Elephas maximus indicus: one gene and its partner. The protein of the gene in region 1 purifies or fractionates together with the protein of each later gene. This does not show direct contact. Links are inferred from orthologs where the notes say so. Each region holds a gene or a part of one and is shown in the gene's direction. Other genes may lie near its edges. The genes, in order: AICDA and CTNNBL1.

Region 1 (3,919 bases):
ACTTTTAATAGACTAAGTTGTATGAGAGCAGGAACTGGAGCCTCGAACTTGAAAAGCTCAGCCTATTTTCCAAGTTCAATGCAGTCATTTAGATACTGCTTCTGTTTGGTGAAACAAGCATTTGGTATTGCTTGGGGGTGCTGTTGCATCTGTCTTTGAATTAAATATATGATTTTGTGGAAAAGATGGCTTGTGCAAAAATTATTCTTTGGGGTCAACATATAGTCTTCTAGCAATTGTTGTAATGCAATCAGAAACAAAAAAGCAGTGATTTGGGAAGCAAAATTCCTGTGTCTTAAATCCTGTAACTGATTGAATTTAATTGCTCAGCAATAAAGCAGGGGCTGTTTAGTGCCTGTCTCTATGAAGGTTACAGAGCAATTGTGTAATTAAATGAGGTAATAGATGCTTTCAGCTCACAGAACGCAAGATGCTATTTAAATGAGCATTATAATTATTATGATTTTAAATTTAAGCATATTGTTTGTTACCACGATAATAATTTAAGTAGTGCTTACCACCACTGCCTCTGGATATTTGATGTCTGTGAGGCATGGTTTGGATTTTTAGAGAAGCAGTCCTAGAGGACCCTAAGCATTAAGCAGAGCTTCCCCCAGTCATTTAACCCATGTGACGCTGCCTATGACAACCCCTTCTTTCTTCACTGGGCCCAAATCAGGAGGTAGGCTATTGGGGTACCTGGTGATGTGGGGGGAGGAGCCCAAAAGGGCAAGCTTAAATTTGAATGTGTGGGGCCAGTGCCCTCACACTGTCAGACAGAGTCAGTGAAGCAGCAGTGCTTGAGGCAAGATTTCCTTGGCCCTTTGCCTAAGACTTTGAGGGAGCCACCAAGAAAGACACCCTGGAGACCTCAATGGACAGGTAAAGAGGCAGTCACCTCATGGGTCTCCAGCGGGTGGTTTCATTGGCTTTCCTCTCAGAGCAAACCTGAATAATAAGATTGGTATCTATCTGTTCCTTTCTCTCCTATGGGACTCCCAGGATCTGCTTGTTTAATATGCTTACTTATTCTTCTGGACCTGTCTTATGTACCGTGCTCTATTCAGATTTTGCCTGCTCTGAACCTAATCCTCTCTGCTTCATACTTCTACCTCTCTTTTCCAGGTTGCATAAGAGTTTTATGCACTGTATACTGACATACCCTGAGTTTTGTGTTGCAGTTAGAAGTAGTGTACAGTCATAATATTAATACAGCAAATGTTTAGAGACTCGTATCATCAAAAGATAGCAGCAATACTATATGAAATACAGTGGCAATTGTAATAATAACTTTGTAAATATTTTAACAGTCAAACCACTTGAAGACAAACTCTCCTAAGGTGATTTTACTGAACAATTAAGCTACATAGTAAGAAAATTTGTGTTTTTTAAAAAATACCAATCATTCAAAATTAAATGCCTGAAGGTCACTATGATTCTGTCTGTAGTAAGGAGAAAAATTTATTCAAGCAAGTTGTTTAATGGAATGGTCCAATTGTTAGGCAGTTGGTGGCATATTTACTTTTTAACAAGATCTTGGATTTGTGTACACATGGCTTAACTTCTTAAATGTGGCTTTTATAAGATTTTCATGTCTATACACGCAGTTTATGATAACCAAGTTATTATCATAGAATTGCATCTCAGTTTTTATGATCATTACGAACATATTAAAATCATACCAATCCGTAGACTTTATCTCAATTTTATCTATCTATCTACATAGAACTTATACTACAGAGCTAAGATTTTTACGGGTAGATTAAATGTTCTTCAGAAATTTTTCTTGAGGGCAAACAGTGTTGAATGTCTCAGTATGCAGTGAGATTTTGACAGTTATTTAAAAAACCAACCTGAGGCACAAGTCAATAACACTCTGTTGTCAGAGGTGCAAGTCCAGTGGACATGCTTGTATATAATGAAACGCAAAGCAATGGTAAAATTAGCAGTGGAGACTCAGAGAAAGACAAATTAAAAAGGAGAAAGATGAAATTCAACGGAAGAGAAAGGAAAATATATAATTATCACTAAGGAAGTTAATATCTGCAGTGCTTATTAGTGATGGCACCCCACAGGAGAGAATAACTTTGTCAGGATTATTTTTTTACCCATTTTCTCTCTGGTTTGCATTGCTGGGGACACACAGCTAGGGTTCTGCCTCAGGGAACCCAGCTGTCCAGAGCAGCTGTCAACCAGCAGACTTGAAAAATTGCTTCTGCAACATCCTTTGTAACCGAAAAAGAAAGCTCCTCTACACCCCCAACAGGCCCTGGATGGCGAAAGCAGTTTGCTATCGGTTACTAACACAAAGGTTGGTGGTTCGAACCCACCCAGTAGTGCCATGCAAGAAAGTCCTGGTGATCTGCTTCCATAAAGATTACAGCCAAGAAAACCCCATGAAACACCGTTCTACCCTGTAACACATGGGATTGCCGTGAGTTGGAATCTACTCAACAGCAACAGGTTTGAGTTTGGCTTTTCTACCAAGAGAAGAACAGGGTGCTGGAGACAGGCTACTAGCTAGAGTAGAAGGGAAATGATGGCTCAAGAAAATTAATTAACGGGTCATGATCATGGAAATCATTTCCCTGTGACTGGCAGCTTGTGACAGAAAAAGTAAGGGGCTATTATATTTTTCATATGGGGTACCCAAAACCAAACTCACTGCCGTTGAGTCATTTCCAGCTCATTCAACCCTGTGGGATGGAGTAGAACTGCCACATAGGGTTTCCAAGGCTATGAGCTTTAGGGAAGCTGACTGCTACATCTGTCTCCTGCAAAGCAGCTGGTAGGCTTGAACCACTGACCTTTCAGTTAGCAGCCAAGTGCTTTAAGCACTGTGCTACCAGGGCTCCTCCTCATGTGGGGTAAGAAGTAAAAAGTCCATCCGAACTCAATGTTGTGCCCTCTTCTTCTATATTCCCGGAACACTTTTTCTTCTTCATGATAACAGTTTTTTCCTCTGCCTTTCTGATCCATGCAGCCCAGGAGGGTAGGTGAAATGTATAAGAAGTTTATCAGTAAACTTAATTGGTGCTTAATCTGTTTAAAACTGACTGGGCTCCCAAAGGAAAATATGGGTTTTTTTTGTTTTCTTCTTCAGTATTTATTAAGCATTGAGATTATATATGTTAATGGTTATTATATGACTCAATAGCACCTAACAACAACAACATATAATAACAGTAATAGTAATGGTGGTGTTATGTTGATTACCTACCATAATAAGCTCTTGTCTACTGTTGGATCTTTGTCAGCATTCATTTTAGATTGCTGCCAAATATGCGATTTCTTAATTTAAAAAAAAAAGGGGGGCACAGTAAAATGGTTGAGTAATTTTTAAATTGTTTGATGTAATATATATCATATGTATACTGGTGATAAATCTAGTTCTCTGCCTCAGGCTGTAAAGTGCTTTCCAATAAGCTTCATGCGTATGAGAGGAGACATTTAAATGGAAACTGCTAAAGAGCACTCATCCTTAGTTGTCTACTTATAAAGTTAAAACTTTGTTAGCTTTTAAAGTCACCATCTATCAGCCACATCTCATTATTAAAATGTCAACTCCCAACATATGTCCACAAAAAGACTGGCGCAGGAGTGGGTGGAGGAGTGTTCACAGCAGCTCTGTTCATAATAGTCCCAAACTGGAAACAATCCTTATGTCCAATAACACTGACTGGATAATAAAATGCGCTATATCCACACAACTGAATACTTCCCTGCAGTAACAACTCCGTTGCCTTCAAGTCGATTCCCTCTTACAGAGACCCTACAAGACAGAGTACAATTGCCCCATAGGGTTTCTAAGGAGTGGCTAGTGGATTTGAACAGCCCACCTTTTGGTTAGCAGCTGAGCTCTTAACCACTGCGCCACCAGGGCTCCTACCCTGCCCTAGAAGGGAGCAAACTCCTGATA
Region 2 (3,919 bases), on another chromosome or scaffold:
TGGTGACCCCACGTGTGTCCGTGTATAGAAAACCCTCTGTAAGGTTTTCAATGGCTGACTTTTTGGAAGTAGATCTCCAGGCCTTTCTTCCACCAATCTTTAGGTTAGTAGTTGAGCTCAAACACCCAGCACCTATGGTACCCTTAATTTCGGCTAGCCATATATCAAGCAGTTGGCAGCCACATGAAGTTAGTGGGTATGTACTGTGCAGTGCCTCAGTTTATCTGTGAAAAACTATCCGAGGATTAAAACCCAAAAAAACCCAAACTCACTGCCAACCAGTTGATTCCCACACACAGAGAGACCCTATAGGGCAGAGAAGAACGGCCCCATAGGGTTTCCAAGGCTGTAATCTTTCTGCAAGACGACTACCACATGTTTCTCCCCCTGCAGCCGGTGGGTTCAAGCCGCCAACCTTTCGGTTAGAAGTCGAATGCTTTAGCCACTGCGCCACCAGGGCGCCTTCATTTGAGAATAAAACTGCCCAGGAAGCGCTGCGAAAACACAAGTGAAACACCCAGCCCTCCGCCCTGCCCAAAGGGGTGCGCGATAAACTCCGGCTACTTTCTGCCTTTCCTCTCCTCCTACCGCCCTCCTCCAGGTCTCCGCCCCCTGCCCCGCCCCGCTCAGGCTCCAGGCGGAAACAGCAGTGTCCTCAATGCAGCGCGGTTTACGGTGGCGCTGCCTTTTACCGCAGTGTGGCGGTCCAGCTCGTCGTGCGCACTTTTACCCGATTGGCTCTGAGGCCGGCTCGCGGCGCTTTACGGCAGTGTGTCTGGAGAAACTGCGAGCCGCGTTTTTGGCGTGAGTGGAGGGAACCGACGTCGCCGGCGTTGGCTGGGCAGGGAACCATGGACGTGGGAGAACTTCTGAGCTACCAGGTAGAAGGGGTGGGCAGGGCCGGGGTTCCGCCCTCTCGCAGAACCAGGGTCCCTTTAATGCACGTCCTCTCTTTTCGTTCTGGGGCCTGGCTCCCTCTTCTCTGCGTGCCGGCCCGGGTCCGAGCCGCTCATTTCACTTCGCTCTCCCGGGAACCCCCTTGGGCCTTTCAGTTAGTTCCTTGTCAAGGCCCTGGCCCCCTCGCCTCTTCTCACAACTGTCTGGGCCCTGCTCACCCCACCCACAGGCCTTGCTCCCTGGAACTTCTCTGAAGGCGCCAAACTGCCCTGTCTTCACAACCATTCCCCTCCGCTGTCTTCTTCCCTCAGTCATTGAGAGCAGCGCTGGCCTTTCCTGGCTTTGAGCTCGAGTCTCCATTGACTGGCTATGTGACTTTGCATCAACTCATTTCTTCCTCTACGAGGCTCAGCTATTCTAACTATACCCATTGCCGTCGAGTCGATTCCGACTTACAGCGACCCTATAGGACAGAGTGTAACTGCCCCATAGAGTTTCCAAGGAGCGCCTGGCGGATTCGAACTGCAGACCCTGTGGTTAGCAGCCATAGCACTTAACCACTACACCACCAGGGTTTCCTTTTTTAACTATAGAGACATCAATAACCGTGAGTTGGAATCGCCTCGACGGCAACGGGTTTACGGTTGTTTGAGAACTCTGTTAGCTAATGGATGTGAAAGCTGATTTTAAACTGTGGAAAGCTGTACCCATGTTAACTGCCGTTGTTGGGAGATGTTTGGAATTCAAGCATGGGATTCAATGGGGACAAGGAACCCTAGGAATTTCCTTGTCCCCATTGCTCACACTGCTTGTTGGAAAACTGGTCCAGAGGGTGGACACTTGCCCAAAAGTCAGTCAACAAGTAAGAGCTCAGGTCTCCTGGCTGCCAGCCCCAAGTTTTATCCTCCCTTTAGGCCCCCAAGAGGCTTCTTTTGCGAGGCAGTTGAGGTGCACGGTGCAGTACTGTAGCCACTAGCCACATGTGGCTATTGAACACTTGTAACGTGGCTAGTCTGAATCGAGAAGTGCTTTAAGTCTAAAATTCACACTAGATTTTGAAGACAATATGAAAAGAGTGTAAAATTTTTTATATTGATTGCATGATTATATTGGTCATATTGATTTATCTTGATTAAATAATCATATTTTGGATAAGGGGCTAAATAAAGTATATTTAAAGTAAATTTCACCCGTTTTTGGTTGACTTTGTAATGCAGCTACTAGAAAATTTAAATTTACACATATAGATGACATTGTATTTTTATTGGACAGATAAAAAGAGCCTGAAAGGCATGAATTTGGAGGCCCAGGTTACTTGCAATCTTATTTTTGCTGCTAACCTACTGCTGTAGACTTGAACAGTAGTTAATCTCTCTATGCCTTGGTTTTCTCATCCGTAAATGGGACAGTGTTGTTTGCTACCTCACGGGTCTGTTTTGAAACATAAATGTAAATGGCTTAGACCAATGCCTGTCAAAGGGTAAATGTTCAGTTGTTGATAGCTGCGGTTAAGTCAGACCCTGTGCACAACAGAAGAAAATGCTGTCTGGTTTTGCAGCTAAGATCGGTTGGAGATCAGATACTTGTGATCCATAAGGTTTTAATTGGCGGATTTTTGGAAGTAGGTTGGTTGCCAGGTCTTTCTTCCTAGTCCATCTTAGTCTGAAAGCTCCACTGAAACCTGCTCAGCAGGCTGTCAGTAAATGTTAACTATTATTTTTGTGCCACTCTTTCATCCAACATATCAAAAACTGACCTGGCGACTCCAGACATGATGGGAAGGAATTTGTAAGGAAGGAGGTATACACTTACTCCCTACTTATCAACTGTCTTGTTATCCAACATTTCACATTTTACAACAATAATAAAAAACCGACTGTTTTGTGACAGTGAATATCTGGTAGTAATGAATGCTGAAGTGCAAGGCGAGAGTTACGCTGGCTGTGATGGTTAAGATTATGTGTCAGCTTGGCTGGGCCGTGATTCTCAGTGGTTTGGCAGTTATATAATAATGTAATTTGGTTGTCATGTAATGATGTAGCCATCTTCCATATTCATGTAACGCCAGTTTTCACATAATGACCTGGTCTTTGGAACCTAACCATGTTGATAAGCGAATGATGGGTGTACAGGCAGTCCCCATGCTATGAACATCCAATTTATGGACAACTTGTATTTGCCCTTTAATGTTATGTAATTTTTTTTTCTTAATTTTATTGTGCTTTAGGTGAAAGTTTACAGCGCAAGTTAGTTTCTCATTCAGAAATACACACGCAAATTGTTTTGTGACATAGGTTGCAATCCCCACATTAGGTCAGCACTCTCCCCCTGTCCCTTTCCACCCCAGTTCCTGTGCCCATTCATCCAGTTTTCCTGCCCCTTCCTGCCTACTTGTCTTTGCTTTTGGGCAGGTGTTGCCCATTTGGTCTTGTATACTTGATTGAACTAATAATCGTGTTCCTCACTTGTGTTATTGTTTGTTTTATAGGTTTGTCTAATCTTTGGCTGAAAAGTGGGCTTCAGGAGTGGCTTCAATGCTGAGTTAGCAGGGTGTCCGGGGGCCATAGTCTTGAGAGTTCCTCCAGTCTCTGTGAGGCCAAGAAGTCTGGGTGTTTTTTTGTTTTGTTTTGTTTTTGCTGAATTTGGATTTTGTTATACATCTTTCTCCCACTCCGTCCAGAGCCGTCCATTGTAATCCCTGTCAGAGCGATTGGTGGTGGTAGCCAGGCACCATCTAGTTCTTCTAGGCTCAGGCTGTGGTTTATGTGGTCCATTAGTCCTTGGACTAATATTTTACTTCTGTCTTTGGTTTTCTTCAGTTTCGTTTGCTCTGAACAGGATGGGACCGATAGATGTATCTTATATGCCTGCCTGCAGGCTTTCAAGATCTCAGATCCTACTCACCAAGGTAGGATGTAGAACATTTTCTTTTTTTTTTTTTTAAGTCCTTCAAACTCTTTTTTATTGTGCTTTAAGTGAAAGTTTACAGATCTCGTCAGTCTCTCACACAAAAACTTGCTTT

The links.
Region 2: the proteins of AICDA (region 1) and CTNNBL1 purify together in Homo sapiens (affinity purification with western blotting; 3 studies listed by BioGRID, with this or other methods). This does not show direct contact. The link is inferred for Elephas maximus indicus from reciprocal best matches to the Homo sapiens genes AICDA and CTNNBL1.

Annotation. Positions count from the first base shown.
Region 1 is NC_064822.1:65,806,018-65,809,936, reverse strand, and holds the start of AICDA (single-stranded DNA cytosine deaminase), read left to right. Parts: upstream 1-810; 5' UTR 811-874; coding exon 875-882; intron 883-3,919. UniProt on the Homo sapiens protein: Single-stranded DNA-specific cytidine deaminase. Involved in somatic hypermutation (SHM), gene conversion, and class-switch recombination (CSR) in B-lymphocytes by deaminating C to U during transcription of Ig-variable (V) and Ig-switch (S) region DNA.
Region 2 is NC_064843.1:31,849,974-31,853,892, reverse strand, and holds the start of CTNNBL1 (beta-catenin-like protein 1), read left to right. Parts: upstream 1-759; 5' UTR 760-851; coding exon 852-881; intron 882-3,919. UniProt on the Homo sapiens protein: Component of the PRP19-CDC5L complex that forms an integral part of the spliceosome and is required for activating pre-mRNA splicing.